Linked DNA regions of Lepisosteus oculatus. The protein of the gene in region 2 purifies or fractionates together with the protein of the main gene of each other region. This does not show direct contact. Links are inferred from orthologs where the notes say so. Each region holds a gene or a part of one and is shown on either strand. Other genes may lie near its edges. The genes, in order: mybbp1a, ncl, rpl8 and npm3.

Region 1 (7,005 bases), on a different chromosome or scaffold from region 2:
GTGGGAATGTAGGAGTGCTTATATGCCCGAGTGCGAATCGTGACAGGCCCACCTACCCATTATTTTGGCTACAATGGTTAGAACAAGAGATCTCAGTGACTGTGAGAGAGGGGCTGATTGTTGGGGCATGTTTAGCAGGGGCTTCAATGCTGAACATGCTGATGTTTCATGAGAAACAGTGGTTGAGGTGATGTTGGCATGGGAGTCTGAGGTAAAGGTGTCATAAACGAGTGGTGTGAGACTGTATGGTCTGTCGAACTTCACAGAGAAAGGATGCAATGTTTGGGATGCAGTGCAAAAACCACATTGTGCCTAAAATTGAAAATGGGCAGTGGTCTACTGAGCAGTGGAAAAAGTCATAAGGGCAGATTAATTTTTCTTCACCCTGATCTCAACAAGTGGATGAGTACATGTTGGGCACACCAAAATCCGACTACAGGCTCAAGCACTTGTTTCCCCACGGTGAAGGGGGCACAGTTTAGGTCCACTTAACCCCTTAGAGGGCAAGGAAGCCATCCTGATCGATCAGTCCACTGCTGAAGCATTTCTATCCTGATGGGAGTGGACACTTCCAGGATGACCACGCTCCAATCCCTGGGGCTTGGGTGGTCACTGAAGGGTTTGATGTGCATGAAAATGCTGCACTCTGTATGCCATGGCCATCCCAGTCACTAGATCTCATGGAGAGGAGCTTGAGACACCATTTTCCCCACCACCATCAACAAAACATCAAATGATCTAATTTCTCATGGAAGAATGTCCCAGACACTTGTAGAATCTATGCCAAGGAACATTAAAGCTGCTCTGGTGGTTAATGGAGGCCCAGAGCCATGTTAAGATGCTCATGTTGGCGTTTCCTTTATTTTGGCAAATTGTATATACTGTAGAATTCTAACAGACTGAAATCAAGACATATTTTATTTTACCTTTATTTACACGTAGCAAAAAATCACCAATCTGAAAACCAAACACTCTACTTTGGAAAAGTAATTCCATTTAGAAAAATGAGTTGGATAAGTGAACACGCCCCTGAGTTAGTACTTGGTGGCAGCACCATTTGCTTGAGTTACAGTCATATCATTCTGTTCTGGATAGGTCTGTACCAACGTCTGCCCATTCCTCCTTACAGGACTGTTCCAGCTCAGTCCAACTGAGAGGACACTGCTGATGGACTGAACCTCTAAGTCATTCCACAGATTTTTAATTGGATTAGGTCAGGGTCTCTGACTCAACCACTCAAGGATGTTCAGGATGTTTAGGCAAGGCTAATCTTTTATAAGATCATGATGATTGTTTCCCAGTCCCTGGGTACTACTCCTGTCTTAAGTGACTGTTGGAAGAGTTGCATCAATGGCTTCTGAATAATACATGTATTGTACTCAAGGAAACAAGATCTACAACAGAACAGTTGTTAAAAAGGTGAAGACCAGTCAAGAAAGTTTATTTGTGGATTAACACAGTGATATGTACTTGGACACTGCTCTTTTACATTAAATTTGGAGAAATAGCAAACAATGTGGAAGAAGCAAATATAATTTAAAGAGCTTTAGATACCTGTAGACAATGTACTACTGTAATGCCACTAGGGGGTGTCATCCCTGAGGCACAGTACAGACTTTATAGACTCCTTTGCATGCATAAAGATGGCCACATGAGAATGCCAGCACCTAAAATGGTGACACAGCCTATACAAGTTGCCTATACAAGGTAATCAAGTTACTATACAGCCTATACAAGATAATCAAGTAGCTAGCAGGCACACCTGCTGTAAAGGATGGCTTGCAGACGATAGGTCAATATGATACAACTGCTTTGCTTTGCTAGATGTTAACACCTATTTATATAATCCTGAGGTAGAATTGAACTATGAGATGACCTGAAGCTAAGTGAATGAATGGTATTAAATGAGGTAAAAGTGCCCTGTATCAAAGGCTGTCCTGTATTATAACTGTTGTGCTATTTCAAAACAGGTAAAAAAAACACTGCTATAGCTGAAGCCTGGGGGGAAAAAATGTTTATGGACAGACCAAGAAGGAAGACAGTGAACACAAGACCCGAGGTTAACCAACAGAGTTGTACAAAAGGTTAAAAAGAAAACAAAAGGAGAATAAATGGAAAACAGATCACAGGCAGGAGGTCACAGAGTAAAATGCAGACTTGGCAAAGCCAGTTTAGATTGTGATCTTGGAGAGATTTTTTGTTATAATTTAAATGAAAGAAGGCATTGAAGAAAGAATCTAAAATCCTATATATATATATTGCAACAAAGCATTTAAGTGATAAAGCAAATATGTGTATCACCAGCTGGGAAAACCATATCAGTATCTAAAAGAGACACAAAGCACAGCTGCAAGGTACAGACCGAACACTCTTTATTTATAGCACTGAAAATCTCACAAAATCCTGAGCTCCTCAATAGTCCCTCACTAACAAAACCAGGCAACTAAGCTCCTTACCAGTTTCCAAAACCATTTCGGCTAAACTCTTCACTAAAGCTCAGTCTCCCTCTGAGACACTTCATAAAAGTCACATTCAAAGTTACTCACTGTTTCAGCATTTTGGTCAGATGCTCCTTCTACAGCTGGTCATTCCACACACAAACTCCATGTTTTCCAGAAAGCAGGCAAGGTTGACCTAGCAAGCTTCCTGTTTTTGAAAGTGTCATCTGACCAATTTGTCTTCCAGCACCTGTGAGCCAGACAAGGGCCTCCATCTTGTCTGAACCTGTTGTACTATCAAAGGCATCATGCAGTAGAGGTGCTTGTACTCACAGCTCCACAGTTCCCAATAGGCTCCCAGTCCCTTATAAGATGCAAAACTCTTCCAATGCTCCTTGAGAGAAGCAGAATTAAAGAATACATTAAAGGGTCCATAAAAACGAAGGTAGGAATCCATACTGAAGCGATAAATAATGACACCTTTCCCAGTAACACGTTTGGCCCTGCTGCTTTAATGAGGGAAAAGACTGAAGCCCAAGTCACTGACTGACGTTTAATGGAAAGAGAAATCAGAGTAAGAGATTGAGCCATTAATGTGAGGGACTTGAAATTCTGCGGAGCTGAACCATTAATTGTGTATTGTAAAAGCATTTTGGAGAGAGAAATCGGCATTGGTTGCATTTAACGTCAACCAGACAACTCTGATAATTCATTATGAAGCTACATCTAGGTGTTTTTGTTCATGGAATATTATTTTAGATAAGAGCATCAGAAAGGCAACAGATAAGAGAAAGCCATCGAGCTCAGCTTTCTTTTTCCACCAAGGAAGGGTGTTCCAGAAGCCCACCACTGTCATCAGCCACTGTGAGAAGCCCAGTATTTCCTATTATTATATATTAACAGTTTTTGTTTTGCTGCCTACACTTGTCTACATTAAATGCCACCTGTGAATGTTTGCCCAGTCTTTTTTTTTCCCCATTGTGCAGTATTAGTTTGTTTCCCTGCGTTGGAATTGCTGTGGTTTACCTAGGGGTGTACGGATGGTACTGTGGGGAGTGTAGTGTAGTAAAATATTTTGAAAATAGCAGATCAGAATGGCAAGTCAGCTTTCTCGAATGCTTTCTTAACATAATTAGCCTTGTAAAAATTTAAATTCATTAACTAAATAGTGGGGAAAGTAGAGTGAGCACTAGTGTAAAGACTCTGGATTATTTAAAACATAAAAATAATCAAACCTAATGACGAACCCTATATTCTCCACAGAATTAGGCATTGGGAACTGTAACATTCCAAAGCTATTATAAGCAGCTCTCTAGAAAGGCAACTCACATATATCATACCCATATATCATACTTAAAAGATCCTTTCCACGGTAGAAAATGTGAACTTCACTTTTGCACTAACTATACCAAAATCTCAGTGACTGATAAAAAGCAAATGTTATATCTTTCATGAATGGAAAAACAATGTACGAGGTACCAAACCTTAAAATTCTGGAACCCTTATTCTGTGGATTAATTTAACACGAACCTTCCAGCCTGCTGCACGCTGAGCGATCTTCCGATTGACCGGAACACGTGGGTTCCTGCTACAATGCGATCGTTGCTGTAACACGTTTTCTGCTGAAGTGCTGCCGATATTGATATTTACATGGCAGCAGCGGTTGCTAGCATGGGGGAGATAGAAACCGAGCCGGTGCGGCCCAAAGTGACTGATGCCAAAGGAATCCTCCAGCAGAATCGAGAGTTCCTTGATTTTTTTTGGGATATCGTGAAACCGGAGCAAGAAATACGATTAAAAGCCATCGAAGATCTGATCTGCTATCTGAAAAACAGCGAGAAGGTAGGACTGTAATGATTATTTACGTACATTGCTATAATAGGTTTCCTGGGTTTTTGATAGAATTAGGGATATATTTAGGGGGCAAATACAAATTAATTTTAAAACAAAATGTTCAACGAGACTTTTCAGGAGTTTTGTGCATACACAAGACTTTCCAGACTTGGTTTAACCACGTGGGTTTTGGTGACACTCATGGGCTTCCTTTGGCTCTTGATAAAACGTCTTTTTAGGACCTGCTATAAGGACCTTAAAATGTAGTAGTTATGCTAAGCGAATCAGCAGCGTGTTCTTAAAAGTTTGCCCAGAATCTCAGTTGTTAAAAGAAAGGTGATTTTTATTTTGTTGTTTTTGATTACTTGTCAATGCTGCGAGACATTTGATATGTCTTTGCTTTGTGTGCATTTTATTTTTGTGCATTTTTAATAATGTTACGCAAGGTTTAACATACGTTTTCAGCAGTTTTATCATTTCGATATTTTTTTCAATTCATGTTTTTATTTCTGTGTTTGGTTAGGAATTTTGTTTATTCCTCTTGCATTCTTATTATTTGATAAACAACGAGCTTTTATTAAGAAGCTTGTCGAGGACTGTATTTGCAATGAATAAATAATTGACTCGCCTAACCCAGTGAGTAACGTTGGTTAGCTATGCATTTTCATTGCAGGAATGTTAAAGAGCTGATGGGGAATGATTTAGTTTGATGCCTTTGATGTCAAATTAACTTTGTACAGTTTTATACAGCTTGGAATGGTCTTGAATGAACTTTGCTTAATGGTATAAGAGCACTATCTCACCCAGGGCGTGAACTCACAATTATTCAGGTACAAGTCTAGAGGTCTGACCACTCCTGCACACTTCAGTGGTAGTGTTTTATTTAGGCAGCATTGCTATTGTGGAGGAGTGGTGAGGAGGTGTTTGTGGTTCAGATCCTAGTGGGACACAGCAGTTGTACCATTTAGCATAGTGCATCCCTCAGATTTCTCTATTAAATTGCCAAGTTCTTTACATTTGGACAAAAGTGTCAACCAAATAAAACACATTATTCTTCCTTTTTATAGTTTGACCCTGTAGGTCTTCCCATGCGGAAATAATTAGGTACTTGTTTTTTACATCTGGGTGATCTGTGCCCCACAAAGGGTCTCTGGGTGTGAGTGTGATGGGCTAATCTTCTCTTCCCTCTTTTGCTCTCCCTCCCAGCCGGATGAGCTGAAATACACCCTGAAGCGACTGGTGGACGGGCTGTCCCACACTAGAGAGACTGCGCGGCCTGGCTTCAGCTTGGCTCTGGCCCAGGTCAGTGTCCTCCACAGCTGTCTCTGAGTGTGTGTCAGGAAATGAAGAATCACAGCTTAAACATCGTGTTAGAACCTGTTAGTAGGTAAAAAACAAGTAACACGAGCAGTGCTTCTTACTGCCAAGTTAAAGAAGTTGTCCAGCACTGAACAACATAAGGATGATTACTTAGGAGAGGAAGCTATTCTACCCCATTTGCTAGGAGTATGATCCAAGGATCCCATCCAGCTGTTTCTTAAAGGATGCCAAAGGATCACCTTCACATGGCTGGGCAACCTGTTCCATAACTCTTAAGAGTAAAGACCTGTTTCCTTTTTTCTCTGTTTTAAATATGCTTCGACCTAATTTTCACTGGTATCCTATGGGTTACGTTACAAATACAAGTAAAACAGACTAGAAAATAATCACGCTTGTTACAGGATAATTATACATGACTTAGAGTTCGAGAATTTCCAGCCCGAATGCTCGGCCACCTGAATTCTTTCTCTGCACCCTGAAGATGTTTTTTTGTCCTGCAGCAGAAGGCTGTGAGAGTGTCTGAGCTGTATGGAACTCAAATGCATTTGCATTACAGTTACATTGAAATGCAACTTGTGTTTTTCAACAGCCGGGTTCACTGTGATGATTGTGTTGTACTCTTTCATAGTAACCCAGACATAAACATATGGTGTTTATTGCAGGTCCTGCAGGTGTTTGAGGAGATCCCACTGCAGACAACACTGGACCATATTAAGGAAAAGAACAACCTGGAGACAGTGAAGAAGGTCAGGAAACAGTCTTTCCACACTCCCGACTGGATACCTAGAGCTCCCAAGTACCACATTCTTGCCATGGAGTCCTCTCCTGTCCATGGTCTCCTGATCTGATGTAGATGGTCTTCCTAGCCATGGAGATGTCTGGAAAGTTTGTGGAAAAATTACATTAAACTCTAAAGTATTGGGACAGAAATGTCAACTAAATACTGAAGAAAAGGTCTAATTAAATACTGACGGTCTTAATGTGGAAAGCGATGAAGATGGCTACGTGTTCTCAGAACGGGTTTTAGTAATTAGTAAACCTTCTGCCAGCTTCTGAAAATTAGGACGTTTTATTGGATTTTAAGACTTGGGAAACGGGTAGATCCAGCTCTGTTGCCTTGGTTATTTCTCTGATGGCCTCACCTGATTTTTATTATTCCTCAGAAACTCAGAAGAAATGCTGCATTTGGGAATTTCTTCGGAGTGTTGGCTTTGTCCCAGTCGGGACGCCTCCCTAAGGTAACTTAAGTTTTGGAAAACGCTGTTGTTGAGGGCTGTGTATTCAGCTCACTAGAGATTGAGCTCATGGGGGAGTGAGGTAGTTTCCCAGTTTAATACACAAATGTCTCAGGCCTGCCTGTGTGTTGCTGACAGGAGCCCAAAGTGGTCCTGGAGTGTGTGAAGCTGCTGCAGAG
Region 2 (7,830 bases):
CACCCTAACTTGTTACATCAGTTCATGTCCAGACCAGAGGTCATTGGAAATTCGGGTCTCATCTTAATTTTCAGACCATTTTAGGAAGGACACTTGTTATTAAAAATATGAATGTAGCATAGAAAAGACATCTTTATAACTGTATGTAAATGTAGAGCAGGAAACTTGAATAAATTTCGTTATTAAGAAAAATCCTGCTGCAAACAGGATGCACCCTTTGAGACAATAATTTTCTCAAATACACTAGATTGAACTGAAACTTATACATTGAAATACAGTTATTTGAAGAACCCGACAAATACTGCGAAGGTAAGGATCATGGGGCGCTAAACTAGTGTAGCTTGTGAAACACTGCTGCCCTCTTGTGGTATTAAGCTGTAATAGACGTGCAATTAGTCTCTAAAGAACAGCAACGGAAACACTACCTCTCATATTGTTCTTGGAAGAAATCACAATAATACAAACAGGATATCTTTCCAAACCTTTTTGAGACAAATAAAAAAGTTTGTAATCTTCAAGACAACATTTCATAATGTCTGGATAATTTCCCCACAACAAAGTTTTGGGTATATAAGCTGATGCCAGCAGCCATACCACCCTGCAACTCAAACTGGCAACCCCCTGAAGCTCAGCAGGTGTGAGCCTGGTCAGTACCTGGATGTGAGACCTCCTGGGAAAAACTAAGGTTGCTGCTGGAAGAGGTGTTAGTGGGGCCAGCAGGGGGCGCTCACCCTGCAGTCCACGTGGGTCCTAATGCCCCAGTATAGTGACAGGGACACTATACTGTAAACAGGCCCCGTCCATTGGATGAGATGTAAAACTGAGGTGCTGACTCTCTGTGGTCATTAAAAATCCCAGGGCGTTTCTCGAAAAGAGTAGGGGTGTAACCCTGATGTCCTGGCCAAATTTCCCATTGGCCCTTACCAATAATCCCCCTCTATGAATTGGCTCCTCCCCACTGACAGCATCATCCAGGTGGGGACTACACATTGGTGGTGGTGGAGGGGAGTCCCCATTACCTGTAAAGTGCTTTGAGTGGAGTGCCCAGAAAAGAACTATATAAGTGTAAGCAATTATTATTAGATTTTTTAAACTCTAATAATTTTTAGGTTTTTGTGTTTAGTTGATATGAAAAGCTCATAAAAACAATTAAATAATTTCACCGCAGAGCAAGTTGGATCTATCTCTCTCACCACGTACAACCTGATGTATTTGTTTGATATGTCCAGTGGATGTTTAAATGTGCTGCTTTAATGGAAACTGTCCATGCATCTAGATGCAAAGAGCTAAATACACGATTAACTCAATTTTCACTTTAAAAACAAAAAGTGCCTGGAAATATACTGTATCCCAACAGAATGGATTAGTTTAAATGTACTTTCACAAAAAGTTCTTACTTGAACTTCAGTCTAAATTGAAAATCTTGGGGGTGATATGTGATTCAGGCTTGACATTTGACCCACATGTGCAATATATTGTCAAAACATCCTTCTTTTTCCTCTAAAATATCACCAGACTACATCCTATGTTATCACTTACTGTAGCTGAAAAGCTGATCAACACGTTTGTCTTCTCCTGAATTGACTACTGTAATGCTCTACTCGCTGGGGTTTCTAAATCCACATTGACCAGGTCCAATGACTCCTATCCTGGAGTCCTTGCACTGGCTTCCTGTCAAGTTTCGAGTCGACATCAAAATACTCATGCTCACCTGTAAGGCTCTGCATGGCTTGGTACCTCAGTACCTGTCTGAGCTATTATCGCCCTACTCCCCACCTCGCAACCTTCACTCTTCTAATTCTGGTCTCCTAACTGTCCCCCAAGCCCGTCTACACTCTATGGGTGACAGGGCCTTCTCCTGTTCTAACCCCAAGCTCTAGAATTCTATCCCCAAGAATATGAGAGTCACCTTCTCTAAACTCCTTCAAATCCAAACTCAAAACGTTCTTCTTTAGAAGTGCCTTTACTTTACTTAACTGTTTCTGTTCTTTACCCCTCTGCTCCTACTGTATTCAATATCCACCATCTACTGGCTCCTCTCATTGTGCATTTCTTGTGTACTTTTTATTGTTGTTGTCGTTCTGAAAAGCGGTTTGAGAAGTCATCTTTAAAGGCGCTATATAAAATAGTTTTTTATTAAAAAAATAAACAGTCGTCAATTAGCGCCACCTGGTGGTCTCTTGAGAGATGTTAAATTTGCTTCTAACCGTTGAGCCCAGTACATCAGACCAAGCTCATTGAGCAGAATTACATACATTACTCCAACATAGTACCGCAACCGTTGGAGGAATCTGAAGACCACCTAGACATAATCAAACACCAAATTCTTCGTACAGGATTAATATAAACAAAACGCCATGATTTAATAATGATACACTATTTAACCTTAAAATAAGCGAAAGCGGCTTCTCAACCAGGAATTCACAGCGTGACTCTCCTTTGAAGGAGAAGGTGACAACTAAAAATCCTTGCTGACTAACACTTCCTACATAACAGCCGCTGGGTTATTTCTCCCCCGCAGATAGCGATTCAGGCATTTAGGACTGGGGAGGTTTACCAATAGCGCAAGGTTTGTACACCTCTACACCGTTTCCTCGCCACATTCAAATCGTCCAACCAAATCTCGCTCTTTCAAGGTCCCGCGAACGTCATGACGAAGATATCAAACTCTCGCGATATTTCATGTCAAGGCTTTTGGTAGGGAGTTTCGATATCCCTTCTTATATTACACGTTTTCACACCCGGAAAGGTAACAGGGCAGCCATATTGCTGCGGTATGATTTCGCTTAGAGAGTTACAGTAGGTAACATGACCAAAACGCTGATGGCCTTACATTATGCATTATATATTCAGTCAAAAGCAGTAAATGCAAACAAGTTCATTTTGTACGTCTGAACATTTGACATTGGTTTTACACATTACCGTCACTAAAGTGCCTGCCTAACGTTATGTAGCTTGTGCTATCCCTCTTGTGGGTCTTACCCAGGTACAATTAAGCTAAATGTAAATCGAGGACCGTGAGCATTTCAATTTGTATCTAAGCTGATATTCTGTTTACGTCAATACTTTTCCAAATCTTCAAAATGCATCTGTCCAAACGTCACCTTTAGATACTATTTACTTTTAATGTATTAATTTCTACTACATTTTTTTATCGACCTTATCTTTTATTCTCCCAAGTATACCTTACACGTGTTCTAATCCATTAAGTGGACCTACTGTTCCGGTTATCATTTCGATTGTTTGAATTTAAGTACATTGGTAATTCAAGAACCATTAGCGATTTAAACGAAGGGCCTTTCTTCGGGGTGTAACAGCAGCGTAAACCAAGGATTTGAAACCAGAACTCTCAAATCCACAGCGATCATTACCGCCAGCAATTTCTGCCCTGTTGCAGTCATTTTTACACACAAAAAGACGTGGTCACAATGACAGATGATGGAGGTCCAGTTATTTTGACTTGGTGATTTAATGTAGGACTGTGAGAAACTTTTTTTTCCCCTCAAAATTCAGATTTTCGTGTTACCAAGACCACATAAATTACCCGATCGATCTGTAGCTATCCATGACTCAAAACTCTCTGCTCATATATATTCTTCTTGTATTTCATGCATTGATTCATTTGTGTATATAAAAGTGGGTATTGTTTTATTTAGCAGATCACCGTGCACGTTAATTCGATTCTACATTACAAGGCTAAACTGTATTCTATAAGACTGTCTTATATTTATCGTCATTATTTTTTGACGTTAGACCTTAAGGTAGATATAAAAATAACAAGGAGAATGCCCTGAATCTCGGTGAGCATCCCCTCCTCGTGTTGAATGAGTTTTTTTTTTCCTGGAAGAAAAACAACTGAATAGTAATATCGTGAAACTATATAATTCATGTGCATTAAATTGTAACCACTGTATTTTAATTTTTCGCCCTCCTTCTTCCATTACCCCGCATTAAAACTCGTTGTTTTCCAATACCAGACATTTCACAAAATCAAAACATTTCAATCACTTTAGAACATTTCACTAATACAATACCTTCGGGAAAAGAAAACTTTACAAGCCGTACTGTACTTCTGAAGCTCAAGGCTCCCTGTTTTGTGCAGCCATGCTACCCTCTGTCCGTGATCGATTTAAAATGGGTGTATTTTGAAACACGTGGTGGCCAAACACTAGAAGCACATGGGACGCCACTGTTTCACTCCCATTGGGTGTCTGTAAATGGGATTTGCTTGCGGGTGGATATTATGTATTTACTGAAAAGAATAGCCGTTCCTATGTATGTTACACTTTGCGTTTTTACTTTGTGTTTTTGAAGTATCACTAAAAACTTGTTAGAGCTCATGTGCACTTTAAAGTCACATGGGTGGCCGGCACTTTAGGTTTAATGGGCTGTGAACGGAACTCGAGATACCGGTACAATCCACCGAGAAGTCCAGTACACAAAAAAAGTTAATATTTTAACAGGTTTTATCGTATTTAAATTGGAAGTTTTTTTCTCATTCATAGTTTCAACTAAATGCCAAATGGTTCGATGAAATTGAAGCTTAAAAATATGTTTCTTTATTTAAAAAAAACAAACAAATTATATCAATCCAGACACGAGTATACACCTATACAAATTTCACACTAAAAATACATATTACGAATACTGTGCAGTACTAACTAAATCCACTCTCGTCTCTTCAGGGCTCGGACAAGCGCGTTCACGAAAACCCCAGAAGCCGAGCGCGATGCAAATTCCTGCGACCCGATTGGCCAAGAAATAACACGTGGGCGTGGAAGGTGGAACGCGCACAACAGTAAAGCACCTCGCGCTTCTTCCTGCGAGTCCGTCTTTCTCGTCTCAGCGCCTCACCGAAGAGCAGGGTTAGGCCACGTGTGGAGCAGTGATTAAAACTTGCATTAGCTTTTTCGTTTTCCCGATCGATCTTAGTCGAGTAAACAACCCCGCAGACAGTCAAGATGGTGAAACTGGCGAAGGTAAGATGTGATTTTCATCGCCGATTTCAAAATATAAAGTTCGAGGCGATGGGTTTGATGTACAAAATGGCACTGGAGATGTGAGATTTTGTTCCTTTCGGTTTGCCTTGCCCGAGCATTTTTTTGCAGCGGATGAATGTTTTTTTTTATGATTATGCGGGTGCAGTCGTGTTTTGGGGGTAACGTAGGGGGTTATTAGTTTCCGGATGAAAGACGGAGCACAATGGAAGTGCGTTTTGGTGCCTGTTCAAGCCGACCCAGATTTCGAGTAATCAGCCATGTTTTTCTGCGTGGTGAACTCTTGTTTCTCAAAATGGCCATGCCTGCGCATTCGCCTGCGAGCGCGGAAGCTGTTTTTTTGGTTTATCGCCTTACTTGATTACATTTGGGTCTTGTTTGAAGCAGTAACTCCTCTTAAATGTAAAATATAACTCCTAGCAGCGTGAGCGCTTTGCAATTTTGGTAAAAAAAGGAACTTTCCAATTTGGTTGCGCTTTTATATTATGATGTGGGGAAAGAAACAGACGACTGTTTCTTAATTGCTTTATTTCTGGTAATGATTAGAACCGTGATCGTGCTATATGTAGTTTTTCCATTTATGTTTATTTCGGGTTTGTATTAGCTGGATATAGTTACATATGACTAGGCCTCGCGGAGCACCACGTGGGTTTTCAGCGTGGAGCCATCACGCAGTCACCACGACGTGTGTCCGTCGAGCGGTTTAGACATTAGTAGTTGGACATTGCAGGCTGTGTGCTGAACATTACCTTTTTTATTTTTAACTATTTTGAGAAATTTAGATTCTAAACATGCTAGCAAAATAGTGTCTTAGAGAGGGAGCACGCTGTGGAGGGGACATGGCGGCGGTGGTTTGTACTACACAAGCGTAGTTTTTTTTTTCCGGTGACCCGACCATTTTCCGTATACAAGTACACAATTATTTCGATGTACAAACGGTTACAATATTTTTTGACACCCCAAGGCGATAAACAGTTTTTTTGCGGCCTATGAATAAACAGCGGATACCCCGCTGGGTAGTCATGCTTCATATGAAGTGGGTTTTTTTTTCTTATTTTAGGCAGCGAAAAAACCGACAACTACCCCTAAGAAAAAGGCCCCACCGCCCCCTAAAGACGTGGACTCCAATGAAGAAGAGGACAGCAGTGAAGAGGAAAACGAAGAGGTAAGAGCGACAGAGACTCGCCGCAACACGTGGGCTGAGGGTCGCGCTGTGTCAGCGTGGAGCCAAACCGGAGGTCGTGTCCTACACGTGCTTGTGCGATTCGGGCCCTCTTGTTTTGGAGTTGGTGGTTTCGCTGGAAGGTGTAAGGTCTCTTTGGACAGTGACCCGTGTCCTAAAACGGGGTTCGACTGGGAAACCCAATACCGGTTTAACAAAGGGCATTTCTTTGTGCAGAAAGGGGAATCATGTTTTTTTTTTTTCCTTTCGGCTTCAGGTACCTCCCCCAAAAGCCAGCGCCAAGAAGGCAGCCACGCCAGCTAAAGTAACGAAAGCCGCCAAAAATGGCAAAGTGGCACAGAAGCAGGAAAGTGATGAAGACGATGGTAAGTGATGAAACGCGTCTGGGAGCCTTCATCTTTCACTCCATGCATGTTATAGGGTGAAGTGGAAGTGCAAAGATCTGGACAGAGGCTGTTGCATTTGTTGTCAACCACCAGGTTTCTAAAAATGGTGTCAACCATGTCGGAAATAACCAAAAGCCAGTGTTTGGCAGGATTTAGTTCTTAACCTACAAGATGCTAGCTGCAGTGAGTGTTAATTAAGGAATTGGAAATGCCCAAATCTTAAATCAGCATTTAGATGCCAGCAATACACTTATCACTATTATACGAAGCGTAGTTAATATTTTGAAGTGTTGTGTGGAGTATAAAGATGGTTCCACTCAGTTGTTCCTTCTTTGTAGAGGCTTAGGAAGCTGATATACTTGCCTTTGTTGAGCCAGAAGGACAATATATTTTGAACCCCACTGCTCTGAGGTTTGCATTGGGGGGGAGGTATTCCCTTTTAGTTCAAAATGTTTTTTTTTTCTGAACGGGGGAATTTCAGCTGTGATATTCCCCTGTATTTGGTCCTGAGTACAGTATGCTGGATTAACTCTTGCGTAATGTGATGCTCTTCAGAGGAAGATGCCCCCCCAGTCCCCGCCAAGGGCAAGGCCGCCAAGGGCAAGGCGGCGCCCCTGAAAAAAGCCGCCAAAGCTAAGAAACAGGAATCGGAGGAGGAGGATGACGATGGTATGATCAGTCACGGTGACTTTCTAGCTGTCAATAACATCCCAGCAATAGTCTTAAGAGGGCAAGGGTGGCTCGCCAGTGTTTGGCAAGGAGCTGGGGAGAGGAAGTTAGATCTCTGGGTTCATGGTTTTAGATCCTGGATGGAGCACTGCTGTTGGACCCTTCGGTAGAGATGAGCAATATAAATGTTGTCCAGGTGGCATTTGTCCCCAGGAAGGGCCTTTTTGGGCTGGTTGCTGGCTAGGCCTCCACCCCTCTTCAGACCTTGACTTGGGGCTCGCTGACATCCCTGCCGGGGCCCTGATCTTAAACCTGCTCGGGCCGGTCCGAAGCCCGGGAGACTCCTAACCTGTTCTGTTGTCGCAGATGACGAGTCGGAGGAAGAAGCCCCCCCACCCAAGAAGGCCACCCCAGCAAAAGCCACCCCTGCCAAAAAGGCCGCCCCCGCCAAGAAGCAGGAGTCCGAGGAGGAGGAGGACGATGATGAAGATGGTGAGTGACGGTGCAGTGATTCAGGGAGGGGGTTTAATAGCCTGGGGTGGTCTTGAGTTTCCAAGGCACTTGAGTGTGTAGGGAAAAATGGCCTCTTCCCTCC
Region 3 (7,376 bases), on a different chromosome or scaffold from region 2:
AATCCACTTTATTTTTCTTACTGGTCACCCTAATCACCTGTTATTTAAAGATTTGGAATAACTCATTCAAGCAGTTGCTCAATTCGGCAAGTAGTGTTGCAAAGCAGGAAACACTGATTCGTGAAGGCAGAAAGATATTCTGATTGTCGTTCCAAACGACCTCTCGCATTTCTTCATTGAACACACCTTCTGTTTAATGTTGATTAGCGTTAAATTGTTCCAGGGTGAGTGAAATCTGCAGGCGTGGGGCTCTCCAGGACTAAAGATGTTGAGTGCTGTCGTAGCCTACAGCCCTTTCCTATTGCTGTATTCCTATAGCCTGGGGCTGTAAGAACGCTGGGTACAGAATCGGTCGTTGAGGAGCTGCTACAATGGACATGTCCAAAAACAGTGCATCACAACAGGCCATACTGCAGCCAGCTGGGACAAGAGCCTCTCTCTTCACCCTCCCAACCCAGGACATATATGCACGCGACATATTTTAGCAACCTCTGTATTGCGTGTAAATACATCTTTGCTTATGCATGTTTTTTCTAGAATTTTAACCCTAACATAAACTGAAGCATTCAGCTTCCTGTTTGAATAGCCTGGACAAATCATTAAACGTGTTAGGCTATAAATATTACAATACAGATGTCAGATAAATCTTCACAAGACTTGAGTATTGACTTGCCACGACGTGTTGAGAAGTAATTATACTGTAGTCTTTACACTGCATGTTCTGTGCATGATTTTGACCCTGGTGCCAGATGCTGCAGCTCAATAACCATGCAAAGTTGTTGTTTTTTTTTCCCTACACTGGGAAAGTCTGAGCTAAAAAGGACAAAGACTGAAAGTAAATGGGGCCATGGGTGGTTTACTTAGGATGCCCAGGAAAATGTTGAAAATGATCTGCAATAGAAACAAATGGGTTCATGAGGAGCTGATGTAACTGAAGTATTGTACACTGAATTGACAGTCAGATGCCTAGTTTAGTACTCTGCTACACCTTGCACAGGAGAGGCCTGATAAGGCTAACCTTGGGACCTGAGCAATGATTTGCATGACCAGCTTATCTGTAGACTTCGAGTCAGTCATACGCATGTGTGGCACATTAAATGTGGAAGCAATTAGCACAGAACCTGTACCAAGACCTGGCTTCACAGCTGCTGTGTTAAGGTATTTCAGAACTGTTTCTCTGTGACTTGGCAGGCTTTTAAAAATGAATGAGCATACATTATTAAAATGTGTAACCTCACTGGAACTCTTCTGTAGGTGTATAATTCAGTTACGAACAGAATGGTGCAGGATATTCAGGCACAGATAAGGTCACTGATACCACACTCTGAGTAGTTATTCACTAGTTCAGTCGTCTTCATTTATATTGTTAATTAAATTACGTGACCTTTTAAGAGTTTATTGAATGTTGATTCATCCAAGCAAGCAGTAGTAGACTAGAGATTTCAGGATAATGAACGCAGTTCACATGAGGTGAAAATATCCAGAACTACAACGCTTTATATGTGTAGAAATCAGTTGAGAGAGAAACTGAAGAGGAAACTAATGTGTAGAGTATATTTATAATACCTGAATATTTTTGGTTTCCCCTTCTTGTTTTTGTCATGCAATGCCTGTGTGTTAATGTCATGAATCTCTTGTATTTGCAATACAGACCTGTCAAACCCTGGTCTTTACACATGTTTAAAAGCAGGATGCCTGTCATGTGGTCTAGTAGTACAGAAGTCTGTGAGGGTTGTGTGATAGTACTTCTGGAGACCACCTATCTACTTTCCCTGCTGGACGTTCCATATACATTCTTTCCAAATACGTCTCTGTTCCTCACATGACTTTTATGGTAACAAAGGAAGCCTTCAAGCTCTGTCTAGGGTGTAAAAGGCACCTAGAAATGCCTGAGCTTTAGATCTGAAGGAAGGAAAGGATGATGGTGTCTCTTCTCTCAGCTCTCTGGAGCGACTTTTGTCATAAACCTATGTCAGAACTACACTCAACCGCGCTGGGATTTCTTGCAATCCGACAAACCCTTAGAAAGCTGCCTCATTTACACTCTCCTTAGCAGCAGTTTCAAACCCAGCCGTGTAAGAACACAATCAAGGTTATACCACAAAGTTTAAGACAATACTCATTGGCTGCCCCGTGAGTGTGGGGTTAAGTACCCTAATTTCTCCTCCTGCCAAGGTCAGCCAGGTGTGTAACCCCACACAGAAAGATGGAACGGGCACATGGACCCCAGACAATGACGTGGATCCCCAACAAGCAAAACAAAACTGTCCAAAAAAAACATCCACTGTAATCGTGTAGTGATTAATGGTCACGTTAACAGACAGGGCAGCATTGATCAAAACCTCCGTTTCTGCCGGCTCATCCTGACATGACCGCATCCCAGCAGGACCAAGCTTGTCCTGGTGCTACTTGGCTTCCCTTCAAGATGGGAACGAGACACTTGTGTCGTGGACAGGTCCAAATAAAACAAAAGTACAGCAAACTGATTATTCATCTTTTTTGTCATTAGTATTACAATGACTGTTGTTGTGAGAGATTTTTTTAAAGAATATAAATTGTTCAAGGCAAAACAACTCAGGTTCGAAGATACTGTACAGTTTGGTTATACATTAGTAACTCAAACTAAATTCAAAACTGGGAACAGAAAGTGTTTCTTTCCACAAAGAGTTGTGGGAGTATGGAACAAGTTTCTCACTCAGATGATGCAGTGGCTCTGTGGCTAAGGCTCTTCTCCTTTGGCTGGAAGGTTGCTGGTTTGTATCCTGCAGCCGGCAAAGGAATCCTACTCCGTTGGGCCCATGAACAAGGCCCTTAACCCCAACTGCTCCAGGGGCGCCATATAAATTGCTGACCCTATGCTCTGACACCAAGCTTCTCTCCCTGTATGTGTCACATGGAGAGTAAGTTGGGTTATGTGAAAAAGGACAAATTCCTAATACAAGCAATTGTATATGGCCAATAAAGTGATCTTATCTTATGTAATTGACATAAATACCCAGCATCTTTCAAGAAACAGCTGGATGAGATCCTTGGATCAATTAACTAATAAGTACCAGACAGGCTGGATTGGCCAAATTGCCTCCTCTCATTTCTTGGATGAAGTATTACACAATGCAGTGCAAATTTTGCTCAGTCCTTTCTGTTTTCCATTAATCAAAATAGACTAGGGCAGTTTTCTTCAGCTCTGGTCCGGAAGAGCCATGCTTAGTATTTTTTCGGAAGAGCTTGGAACGAATTAATTGGATCAGTCAGTTGTTTAATTAGTTGCTCTCAACATCTCTGCTTATTGGCCATTTAACTATGGTTTATAAAATCTACAGAACGGCAGCACCTGGATGTGTTTCATATTTTGAAGCACTTAAGGTGCAAAAGCCTTGCATATACAATTCATTTTGTATAAAAAACCGGTAGAACTTTTTAAATAACGCACAACCATAAGGGCAGGATACAAAATCGATTAACATCCACTTTGGTCTGAAAAATTATCTAGTGTATTTATGTTAATTTACGTAAATGAGAAACTTGTCATTTTCTTATGTTCCGAATGTAAACTAACACTGGCCAGGTTAACTAATCAACTGCCAGACCAATCCTGGTGAGGCTATGGACAGGGCGACTGTTTTGAATGTTTTTAACCTAAACTTAATCAACTCCTATAATTACTGATCACATCTTTAAGTCTGTGTTGTTGTTTTTTTGTTGCACTCATCAATTAAATCATACAACTAAGCTCTTCACTGTTTCAGCCAGATGATCAGCATTATCGATATGATCTGAAGAAAACTGGCATTATTGCGATTCTTCATAAAACATTGCAAAACTCTTTCAATTCAGATACATTATAGCTATTGCCGATTAACGTTTTTAGTCAGATAAATGAATGATAACTCAGATTCGAGGATATTTGTTAGAAAAAAACATTTTAAATAAAGTACAATACAAAGCGCACGATGTAAATTCGATTGACGTATTTCTGTCATTTGCAGGCTCACGTTAGTAGTAAAATATATTTATGTGAATATGAATACAAAAGTGATTAATTGGTTTAAAGCGGATATTTTCTAATGACCTACATAATATGTTCCAAATATCCTGTATCTGCAAATGTTCTGCGACAGTTAAAAAATTGTTTTGTTGATGTATTACCGCAACATAATTAAAACGTGTGTGTCTGAAAGGCTCAGTTCAGCAGTCTTGCAGATGTGTGAACTACATATCCCATGATGCTACGCATAGGTAGTACTTAAAATATCCGTGTTACTTGCTTTGTAGTATTTTATACTTCTTGATTAAAAATATTTTATATAGTACAGATATCTGCGATTCGTGTTAATTTGAATTATTTTCGGCTCGTTTTAATGATATCCTGTTCCACGGGAGCGAATATACCCGGAAGAAATGCGTTGCGCCGGCCTTGGACTTCCTTTTCGTCGACAACCCAGGTCTAGGTAGGGAATGGCGGCCTCTTTCTTCACATTAAATCCGACTTTAATCTCTTTATTTTTTACTCATCCGCTCTAGTTTTCTACGTTTATACTACTAATAAAACCTGTATATTTGGTATACGACTGCAAGTTGTGCCTAAGGCTGTATCTTAACGTTTTTTTGTATGATGTGTTCAGTATTGGCCCTAACCGATGAAACAGTCTGCTTGTCCTGTAAATGTCTGGAAATAGACGCGTGTCTGGGATAGGTTTTAACTGTTACATTAAAGCATTACAAGAGGCCGTATTTACACCACTGCAGCTTTAATATTTTTTGTGACAGGAGTCCACTTTATCTCAGACGCCGGGATCTTTAGGGTTATGCTGTGACTGGGAGAATGTGAATCAAGTCGCAACAAAAGTGGGGTGGTCATTGAGAAACAAGTGCCTCGTGAATATTCTGTGGAAATTCACGGTAGCCGTGTCCCGAGCTCAACAGTGATTATTGTATAATTAGTAATGAAACTAATTACTCAGGATTGCAGCATGGGCGTCAAGCGGTTTCATGTGCTCTCCTACTTTTAATTGAGTGAAAGTGCGTTTCTCGAGCTGCAAAAATGCCGTGGCCTTATGAAGTCGTAGTTCGCAATAAAGATTTTGAATTTCATAGGGGATCATATAAACTCTTTCAAAGTGACCCTCCTAACCCCCCATGCCCCCATGCAGTTTAAACGATTTCATATTGACATGCAGTACCTCTGCTTGTCCTCCTTGATCATCTCCTGCCCTGAACCCTCAGGCCTGCAGACGCATCAAATCTGGAGTTTTATTTCTGGCAAATGTTTTTCTGTTCAATGAATGTTGTGGTCTCCGCGGATTGGAAGGCCTCCTTGAATTCGGGCCCATGGTAGCCAGTCCTACCAGCACTGCTAGAAGAGATTGCAGTCCATATTGGTCCATCTGTACCTTCATGTTTTGCCATAAACACCTTATTTTGACTTTATGTTGGCCTGATCTGGCTGTTTTGAAATGCATCAGTATCATGCCCTCTCTTGCTCACTTGTGCATTGTTTTGTGACTTTGTTTATACAGTGTTACTGTCAGCTTTTACAGCCAAGGTGCAGTAGACCTTTAATCTTTCTAATAGATCCCGATGCCAAACAAAAGGTGTTTTTTTGCTCAGTAACAGTCCCAGGTGTTCTGGGCCTGCCGCCGTTCTGATCACCAAGGAAAACCACTAGAAGGCAAAACGGGTCAAGCTTGGGCATCTTTGTCATTCGGTTCTGTTGCTCTTCTTCCTGCGTCCAGGGCACAATGGGTCGCGTCATCAGAGGCCAGAGGAAGGGTGCTGGGTCGGTCTTCAAAGCTCACGTCAAGCACAGGAAGGGTGCAGCAAAGCTCCGATCCATTGACTTTGCTGAGCGTCATGGCTACATCAAGGGGATTGTGAAGGTGAGGAGTTTGGGGAGGAACTGTACACTTTCTAGCTTCAGATAATCTCAAGCCACTTTAATAATACCACCAATGTGCAGCATCCACCTGGATGATGCAACGGTAGCCATAGTGCGCCAGAACGCTCACCACACACCAGCTATCAGTGGGGAGGAGAGCAGAGTAATAAAGCCAATTCATAGATGGGGATTATTAGGAGGCCATGACTGGTAAGGGCCAATGGGAATTTTATTTTTAAATATATCTATGAAGTGGGTCCCTTATATATGTATATAGCAGTGGACCCACTTCACTTCTGAGGTATGGATTTCACAGTGGACTAGTGTCACACTACCACTGTGGAACCATCCATGGTTTTAATAATAATAATTATAATAATGGCTCACACTTATATAGCGCTTTTCTGGACAATCCACTCAAAGCGCTTTACAGGTAATGGGGACTCCACCACCACCAATGTACAGCATCCACCTGTACACAAAACCTCCACCTGTTTTCAAACATTTCATTGGATTCAGGGGTTTTAGTGATAAGAGTTCAGGTAGCGTTGTGCTAAATTGTTTTGTACAGTTTGTTTATTGGCGTTCTAAGTAATGTCAAGTCCTAAGGGAGACAAATGTGGCTAGACTTGGTCACTTTCTCCAGGACTCCAGCAGTCCAAGTTTAATATCAGAAGTGGTGAAAGTTTTTCTTTCCAAGCAGACTCGCAGCTTGCCAAACAGAATTCATTTCAAATAGCGTTGGAGGCCTACAGCATCCTGCAAGGGTATTGTAGTTGCATGGTTTTTAGAAGACAGTCAGGATGTATTCAGGTATTCTACTGAATGCTTATGGGGGTGAATAAGGATTGTTCTTCAGTAATTATGCTTTATGATTCCATAAAAAATAGGCAATCAGTTCATTTCATTAGTTGGCTGCCTAATGTCGGCACATGTGCCCTCGAGATGCAGGTTCGGTAGTGGAGGGTCTTCAAGATTGCAGGTGGCGGCCTCGTCAGAGTGGTGTGTTCTCTTTTCTCTCCCAGGATATCATTCATGATCCCGGCCGTGGGGCCCCCTTGGCCAAGGTGGTCTTCCGGGACCCTTACCGGTTCAAGAAGAGGATGGAGCTCTTTGTGGCAGCCGAGGGCATCCACACCGGCCAGTTCATCTACTGCGGGAAGAAGGGTGAGGTCCAGCGGGGCTGCGGCACATTTCGCCATTTCAAACGGTGCAGCCGCAAAGCGTTCGCTTCGAATAACGTGCCCTTTCCCTGCGGTTCTCAGCTCAGCTCAACATTGGGAATGTGCTCCCAGTGGGCACCATGCCCGAGGGTACCATTGTGTGCTGCCTGGAAGAGAAGCCAGGTGACCGTGGCAAGCTAGCCCGTGCTTCTGGAAACTACGCCACTGTCATCTCCCACAACCCCGAAACAAAGAAATCCCGAGTGAAGCTTCCCTCCGGATCCAAGAAGGTCATCTCCTCGGCCAACAGAGCTATTGTTGGTAAGACCAGCGCGACC
Region 4 (7,566 bases), on a different chromosome or scaffold from region 2:
TATGTGACAGTTTTAGTAAAAATGTTATATTGTACTGGCTTTGGTTAAAAGCTTTGATTTGTGTAGGCTGAAATTTTAGGAATGTCTATCAAGTGTCTTTCATCTGTCAGGGTGGTCGCACCTAAGTCACTCCTACTTATCACATAAACAAGGTTTGGAGTAAGACAGATATTGCAAACTATTTTCTTGGTCTTGTAATTATAAAATTACAGATGAAGTTCAGGGAGTTTAAATGAGACTGAAAAAACGTAAATTTTTGAAACTGAAAAGTCAATTCTGCATTAATTACATAGCAATTATAGGGTTAATGATGGCTCAGAAATCTGCGCTGAAATTTTAACAGCATAATTTTTTGGTGCTGACTGAAATGCCTTTTCTCTTCACAGGGTCCCATGGTGCCTTTTGTGAAGTGAGGCAAAACGATAAAAGAATGTTGGACTTCTACAGCAAATTGGGCTGCTTTGAAGTTGCAAAAATGGAGGGATTCCCAAAAGATGTGATTATTATGGGAAGGAGCCTGTGAACCCCAGCTGAATGTGAAGTAAATGAATATTGCAATGAAAACTGTACAAAGCTTCATTGTGAATAGGCCTACATGTTTGCCACAAAAACCACAAAAGGCATAAAAAGGTGTACATATATAGTACCACTACTATCAATAGGTGCAAGTTAGTGTTTTTAAAATCTGCCCTTAATTACAAAATGCATTTGTTAAATTGAAACTCCTCCTTTATTTGGGCTTTCCTGCAGTGCCAATTAGGGACATCTGTGCTTTGATTTGAAAGCAAGGTGCTACCACTGTCTCCACTGTTGTAATTTAAACATGTAAGCTTGACTGTGTGAAGGGTTTAGGCCTTTCTGAGTACTCATCTCCTTTTCATCTGCAGCAGCTGGCTTTGGAAGTGTCATCTTGTCTAACCTTCCTGAAATTGCTCTATAACATTTTAATGTTATTTTCTCTTAGTATTTTATGTGGAGGGGCACACGAGTTAAAGGCCTCTAGTGCTAGCAGAAGACCTTGAGATGATACACCTGGGAGCCTTCTGTGTAGTTGTGCACATGACTGATCTTGCCTGGCTTGGTAATTCTCAGTTTGAACACTGTGAGCTGAGCAATGTGGCTACACAAAGAAGTGAAAAATTTATGGTCGCTGGTACCTTTCTTCAGTTCCATGAGTGTTGCGCATCTTTGTGAATACATATGTAGCCCTTAAGCACAAGAAACTGAGCAGCAGCAGCTGCAGGAGAACATGGGTAAGACAGCAAAATGTTCTGGTGCTTTCACTTCCTGATGCCTTGAAGTGTGGTCCATCCTCAGAATCAGTAGTGACTTGTTAAAGAGAAAAGCATGTACTGCTTATGGAATGTAAACGATTTATACTATTGTGAGGTGAGTTTTGGTTGTGCTCAGTAAGTGATAGGGTTTACATTAAAAATGCATAAGATTGAATCAATCACTAAACATCTGTTCTGCTATTCTAGAATGACTTAGGCTGTTTTTCTATCTTACATCATGTTATTATTTGGAATTTGTATGTGTATATGAATGTACATAGTATGTATTTTTGATGGACACTTGCTGCAGAGAACCTTCAGAAGAAGGTTTCATTGTTATGTACTAAATTACAAATACAATGTGCAAATCCTTTACATCTAATAAATAATACAGATGAAGTGTGAAATGTGGTTCCTTGCTTCTAAGTTGTACAGAATGTTATATTTTTATTTTAAGTAAATGACCTGTCCCTCCAGTTGGGCCTGGGGCTTTGTAAAGACTTGAGAAGATCTAAAGATACCGTGGCTGAAGCTGACGTCTGTGACTTCTCTGTAGAGTAATTTATTTCAACTTCATCCTTGTGCCCCAGTACATGATGGCTATAATTAAAATCAATATCCACAAGAGAAAGCAAAGGATTATATTTTTTTATATCAAACTTAACTGCCAGTTAACACACTCATACTCATAGCCTACTAAGGCTTTTAAATATTTTGGTGGCACGAACTGTCGTAATATAGCATGCTTTTGTGCCTGATGTACGCTGATGCAACTTCATGCATTACTGCTTACTTGCAGAGGGGTGTTCACGGAGACTATCCCTGTTGCAAGTATATGCTTGTCTTTTACACAAAAGTGTAGTGATTTAAGGTATTAGTTAAGACCGTATTTGGTGAATGCTACTTTTAGGAATTAAGTGAGCTCTTTATGTAACTTTTCATGATATAAGGTTGATAAGTCCAGAAGAGCACTTACAGAAACAGAGCAGAGCTATTGTCTTGAGAGGGATTTGTTCTTCCTGCATATTTGAGGAAAATTAAATGTTGCAGAATTATCTTAGAAATTGTAATCCGTATACTTTTTCCACCATTTGAAATCTAGTGCAGTGAATTCAGACAATGTATTTGAGGAGGGATTATTCCTGCTATAAGGATGTCACTGATTTTCTCCATATCATTGTGGATTGGGATGACTTCAATTTTATACCCACCTTGAAAGCTTAAGAAAGGCATATTTTTCTGAGTTGAATTGAAGAAAATGCAATTATTTCTGCTTTCTTCCCGGAATTATGTACTGAAATTACATTACTTTTCTTTTTATGTAAAAAAAAACAATTATACATTTCAGGGTTTCTTTTATGTATGTTGACTACATGGTTGTAATCTAGTTTTATTATAGTGCTCACTTGTGTTTCATTACCTGATTAAACCATTAAGTGAAGACTGTATCACGAGGCATGGCCTTGTTCTTGATTTGCTAAACCTAAAGAAAATTCAGTAACACGTTTTTCACTGATGATCTCCTAAAGGGTACGGCCGATATGCTCTTAGGGGTAATCTTACACAGCGTAAGTTAAACTAGTGAACCATGTTTTAATTCTTAATGTGATCACCTAATGTAATTTCAATAAAAATATTTAATTTGAACCACCTCTACATCTCACCCATCCAATTGTCCAACTAACATGATTTAGATCAACCAGAATATAATTTGGCCATTCAATCAAAAATGTGCATTTTTTTCCTAAATGAACTGTTATATACAATGTGAGCCCCTAGCTTAGTGTTTGCCACACAAGATCTAATGTGTCCCAACAGTTATTGTAATGTCATAGTTTATCTCATTGTCGAGATGAAAACATTTCTTACATATACCTCTTCTGAGCTTAAAAAGTACTCATTCTTATTAAAGATTTGGCAGAGCAGTACCTTACCTATTACTGATTGTTACCTCAGTGTTGCCAGTTAGGTTGAAGCAGGATTGTCGTAGATTGTTGTACAATTATCATGGTGTAAGTACTAGAAGACTCTTTCACTGATCATATCTGTACTGAATAATGTTCATTCTGATGTGTTTTTCAGGTTTTTTATGGCATATTTCCCAGAACTAAATTGGAAGTATATTCTGTAGCACTACATTTTTAAAAAAAGGAACAATTTGGCTTCTAGAGTAAAATCATTTGCTCTGTCAACATGTTTGTTAAAGAGTGTATATGATTTATGTAATATTTGTATTTACTTATCATAGTTGGATTGAAATTAATTTAAATAGTTTAATGTTTGCACTAAGCTGTGAATCCCTTTACACTCTGCATTTTAATTCAACTTTTAAATGTCTAGTTTCTCCTGCAACCTAAGAGTTTGTAGTTTTCCTTTCTTAAATAGAAAGCAAAGGGGCACAAGGTCTTGACTTAAATCAAAGGAAATATTTCCTGTTTTATGCTGTGAGTAAGGAAGATGTGCCTTTTGCTTGGTATTAGTCAGAACTGATGGGCTGCCAAGAAGCTGCAACTTCTCCTTAATATAGCAAGACTCCAAGGAGGATGAATGCCTAACATGGTGCACCTCTAGATAATGTCCTTGGAGTGCAGATGGGGTGTCTTACCACTCCCATATCTGGGCCGGTCAGCACACACGAACCCCACTAGTTACCATTACTAGCAAGTGTGGGAAATGAACGCTCACTACAAACCTGTCCATGTAAACTCGACCCTGTGCCAGTCGCACGCCATTAGCTCTCCTTTCTGAAATGGACAAGAGCATCAAGGCAGTGATAATACGGGATTCAATTTTCAACTTGTTCAACAAAAGCGACCGTGGATCTGTTCCGTGCCTGCTGGTGGTACACAGAGCTTCAGGGCACTGCGACGAACCTACATTTTCAATTAACCTTTTTCAGTGTGAAAATGACCGGTTTTTGTCGGTTGACGATGAAACAAAAAACGCTTTTTTTCAGTTGTTGGAAGGACACGCACAACGTATTCTGGAAGCATTAGTCGATGTCTGTGCAGACGTTTCTGAGCTCAAGTGTTGTGCAAGTCTTTTACAGTTCGTGTACAAGAATAGCATGCAAACGTACGTCGTCGTGATTGTCTTTAGGGGGAAAACACAGTTACTGTGTTGATGGTAAGAATTAAACAGATTTAGCCCTGCTCTTAATCATGGTAAAAAAAAACTTGCAAATTCCGATTGCTGGAACCTTTAAGAAAGAGTACCAGCGCTCCAGCAGGCACCTTATGTAAGACGTGTGTAGCATGCGGGAAAGTTAATTTTGTGACACTCCTCGTCCTCGCTTTCCGCATGTTGATGACATACACTGTTCTGCGACACTGTGTTTGGTGTCGGCGTCCAACGGTAGATGTGGCTGAACTCGGAGACAGTTTTGTATATATTTATCTGATTGGAAGCCGTTCCGCTTAGAAATGTCGTTTGTGGACGAGGAGTGCTCGGAGAGCTGTAGCAGCGCCGGAGGTCGAGCTCGGATGGAGAGTTTCTTCTTCAGTGAGTGTTGTTGGTAAAAAAAAAAACGTGCTCAGTGCGCCAGCGAATTTGGCACACGTGGGGCGATGTGCCTATTAACCCAAGATACCACTGGAGTACAGCTCAGTTCAATACTAGTCAATGGATTCATTAGCTATTCCAAAATTATGTTTTTTCTCTTGCTCATTGTTTCTCTTGTGATAACGATTCTGCCCTCCGTAGCGTTGTCAGTGGTAATTACTTCTTACGAATATAGCATCATCGGGGGGAAAAAATGTTAATCAAAGATACCGTTTCCAAGCGAGATTAAAAACTCTGTTCTGTTTTTGTGCCGTGAAAACGCGCACACTGCACATAAGACTTGAGTCGAGAGCCACATGTTTGTTCGCCTCTCCATGTGGTGCAGTCGGGCTGAGCAGCTCCTTGACTTTAGTTTGCTTTGCTTGATTTGCCTTTCAGAGCGTTTTGATTTTTGTATATATACATGACTCGTAATCTGACGTTGTTATGTTTGTACTCATCTTTGGTGTTATTATTCCTGCGTATTTAAGAAAATAAAGGGTTCAAACAGTACTAGACGATCGACCCCTCGTGACTGTGAGATTCCCTGAATATCTCCAGGAAACTCTTGGTCGATTAGTTTCAGGCTGATGCGTCTCGCCGCGTAAAATGCCACCTGTACTCTGTTTAAATGTTCTTTTCCATTTGTATCCAAGTGTTCCCTAGTTGCAGGAGAAACCAGTAAAGCTCTTTGAAAAAGAATCATCTTTGGTGGACAGTAACAACATTATTGCATTCATCTTTGGTGGACAGTAACAACATTATTGCATCTCCAGGTTGTGAACTGTCGTCCAAAGCCCCTTTTTACACATTCCAGGGTGATGAAGAGGAGGATCTGGAGCAGTTCCTGGAGTTGCGCACAGTAAGTGGTTTTCCTCCCGGCCCTTCAATGTCTTAAAAGTTTCTGAGAACACCTTCCTCCCATGACAGTCAGTGAGCACCAAAAAGGACATTAAAAAGGATTTATCTCTCAAAATGTTAATTGACAAAGTGCTCTAATTGCAGAAGGCCGGGTTGGTTTTATTCGTAGGGAAAATGGCAAGGAGAGTTTTTTGGAGAAGATAATAATTCCTTATACTTATGTAGCACTTTTCTGGACACTCGCCTCAAAGCACTTCACAGGTAATGGGGACTCCCGTCTACCACCACCAATGTCCAGCACCACCTAGATGATGCGACAGCAGCCATGGTGCACCAGTACGCTCCCACACAAAGGAAAAGAGTCACATCAGTGAATGCAACTGAGTTATTTCCTTTAGTGTTCTCTAATGCAAAGTTATCCATTGCTATCTTTTATATAGGACTCAAAAGGCCAGTGGTTTCCTTCAGGGGTTACTGCATTGATGCAAGAGGGTCTCCATCATGCTGTTTAGATTGAAGTGATTATCACTAGAAAGAAGTGAACCTTCGTTGTGATTCTCAGTGACGGGTCTGGCAAAGAGATGTTTGACCTTTTCATTGTGGATCAAGGCCAGCTGGGCCCCCCGCCCCCCTCCCTGCTGCCCTCAGGCTCAGGTCTCTCTTTCCGCAGGTGTGCCTGGGCGATGGAGCCAAGGAGGAGAGCAATGTAGTGGAAGTGACGGCCCTGAACCACCATGGCAAGAGGGTGTCGGTGCCCGTGGCCAACTTGCACCTCTCTTGCCTGCCCATGGTGAGAACATGAGACAGGTCACAAATCAGAGGGGGCCATTTGGCCAATCAGGCCTGTTTGGTAGTTAGTAGTTAATTGGTCCCAGGATCTGGTTAGAAACTAGGGTATTGGCTTCAACAACAAGTACCACGCTCCCACCACCCTTTGTGTAAAGACGTATCTCCTATTTTCGTGTTTAAACGCACTCCCCTGTAGGTTGCACTTGTTCCCTCCGTTAAGAACGTAAGAAAAGGGCTGTGGCGATCACTCACGGCCTTCACTGGGGCTGGAATTGTGTCCTAAACCTAGTTCACAAGGGTAACGGACTTCTTAACCCTTTCCTAAACTGCAGTTATTTTTTGCATTTAGATGGCTGATTTAGAATTGCCCTGCTAGTTACTAAGCAGATACTTCAGAACTCCAAACATTATGGCTAGAATTAATCTTAGTGCCACTAGCCATTGTTGGAGGGAATGCGGGGAGAGTATAGCTACATATTTGCATGTCTTCTGGCATTGCCCTAAATTAGAAATTTACTGGCAATTGGTTTATCATGCTATAAATAACATTATAGACATAGATTTGCCAAAAGACACTGTAATGTCAATACTAGGGGTGAAACCAGAGGTTATTCATACAACAAAGCAGGCTTACTTGCTACAGATTGTACTAGAAGCTGCAAAAAAGGCAGTCACACTAAATTGCCTTAAAAAGAACCCTCCAACCTATGGGCAGTGGTTGTAATAAAATAGATTTATCTGATGGAAAGGATTACCTTTTTATTGAGATTGCAGATGAGTAATTTTACTGAAAAATGGAAGTCAACTATAGACAAGGTAGCGGGACCATGGGACAAATTAGTATAACTTAAATCTCGATGGAGAATAGCAGTAGTAACCACAGGTATCAGAACAGTTCTTCCCCCAAGTTAATAGAAATATGAAAGTAATTATGGAAAAGTAAGACTCCGGTAGATCACAGCAATATTATCAAGCTCACCTATTTATCTTGTATGTTTTTTTTTTTGTTTTTCTTGGTAGGTTTGTTTGTAATATCATTGAAATGAATGGTGATCAATTATATCATTGGTATTTCTAGTGAAAATGTACATACATGAGAATT

The links.
Region 1: the proteins of ncl (region 2) and mybbp1a purify together in Homo sapiens (affinity purification with mass spectrometry; 3 studies listed by BioGRID and IntAct, with this or other methods). This does not show direct contact. The link is inferred for Lepisosteus oculatus from reciprocal best matches to the Homo sapiens genes NCL and MYBBP1A.
Region 3: the proteins of ncl (region 2) and rpl8 purify together in Homo sapiens (affinity purification with mass spectrometry; 3 studies listed by BioGRID and IntAct, with this or other methods). This does not show direct contact. The link is inferred for Lepisosteus oculatus from reciprocal best matches to the Homo sapiens genes NCL and RPL8.
Region 4: the proteins of ncl (region 2) and npm3 fractionate together in Homo sapiens (co-fractionation; 4 studies listed by BioGRID and IntAct, with this or other methods). This does not show direct contact. The link is inferred for Lepisosteus oculatus from reciprocal best matches to the Homo sapiens genes NCL and NPM3.

What each region holds. Positions count from the first base shown.
Region 1 is NC_090721.1:11,357,273-11,364,277, reverse strand, and holds the start of mybbp1a (myb-binding protein 1A-like protein), read left to right. Parts: upstream 1-4,003; 5' UTR 4,004-4,088; coding exon 4,089-4,280; intron 4,281-5,477; coding exon 5,478-5,573; intron 5,574-6,253; coding exon 6,254-6,337; intron 6,338-6,754; coding exon 6,755-6,829; intron 6,830-6,964; coding exon 6,965-7,005. UniProt on the Homo sapiens protein: May activate or repress transcription via interactions with sequence specific DNA-binding proteins. Repression may be mediated at least in part by histone deacetylase activity (HDAC activity).
Region 2 is NC_090708.1:8,866,454-8,874,283, forward strand, and holds the start of ncl (nucleolin), read left to right. Parts: upstream 1-4,813; 5' UTR 4,814-4,961; coding exon 4,962-4,979; intron 4,980-6,057; coding exon 6,058-6,162; intron 6,163-6,436; coding exon 6,437-6,545; intron 6,546-7,121; coding exon 7,122-7,235; intron 7,236-7,601; coding exon 7,602-7,727; intron 7,728-7,830. UniProt on the Homo sapiens protein: Nucleolin is the major nucleolar protein of growing eukaryotic cells. It is found associated with intranucleolar chromatin and pre-ribosomal particles. It induces chromatin decondensation by binding to histone H1.
Region 3 is NC_090710.1:4,226,544-4,233,919, reverse strand, and holds the start of rpl8 (large ribosomal subunit protein uL2), read left to right. Parts: upstream 1-4,361; 5' UTR 4,362-4,448; intron 4,449-5,732; 5' UTR 5,733-5,738; coding exon 5,739-5,876; intron 5,877-6,900; coding exon 6,901-7,042; intron 7,043-7,140; coding exon 7,141-7,359; intron 7,360-7,376. UniProt on the Homo sapiens protein: Component of the large ribosomal subunit. The ribosome is a large ribonucleoprotein complex responsible for the synthesis of proteins in the cell.
Region 4 is NC_090699.1:45,170,097-45,177,662, forward strand, and holds the start of npm3 (nucleoplasmin-3), read left to right. Parts: upstream 1-4,559; 5' UTR 4,560-4,696; coding exon 4,697-4,775; intron 4,776-5,590; coding exon 5,591-5,676; intron 5,677-6,345; coding exon 6,346-6,465; intron 6,466-7,566. Other genes in the region: oga (protein O-GlcNAcase), read left to right, coding at 387-523. UniProt on the Homo sapiens protein: Plays a role in the regulation of diverse cellular processes such as ribosome biogenesis, chromatin remodeling or protein chaperoning. Modulates the histone chaperone function and the RNA-binding activity of nucleolar phosphoprotein B23/NPM.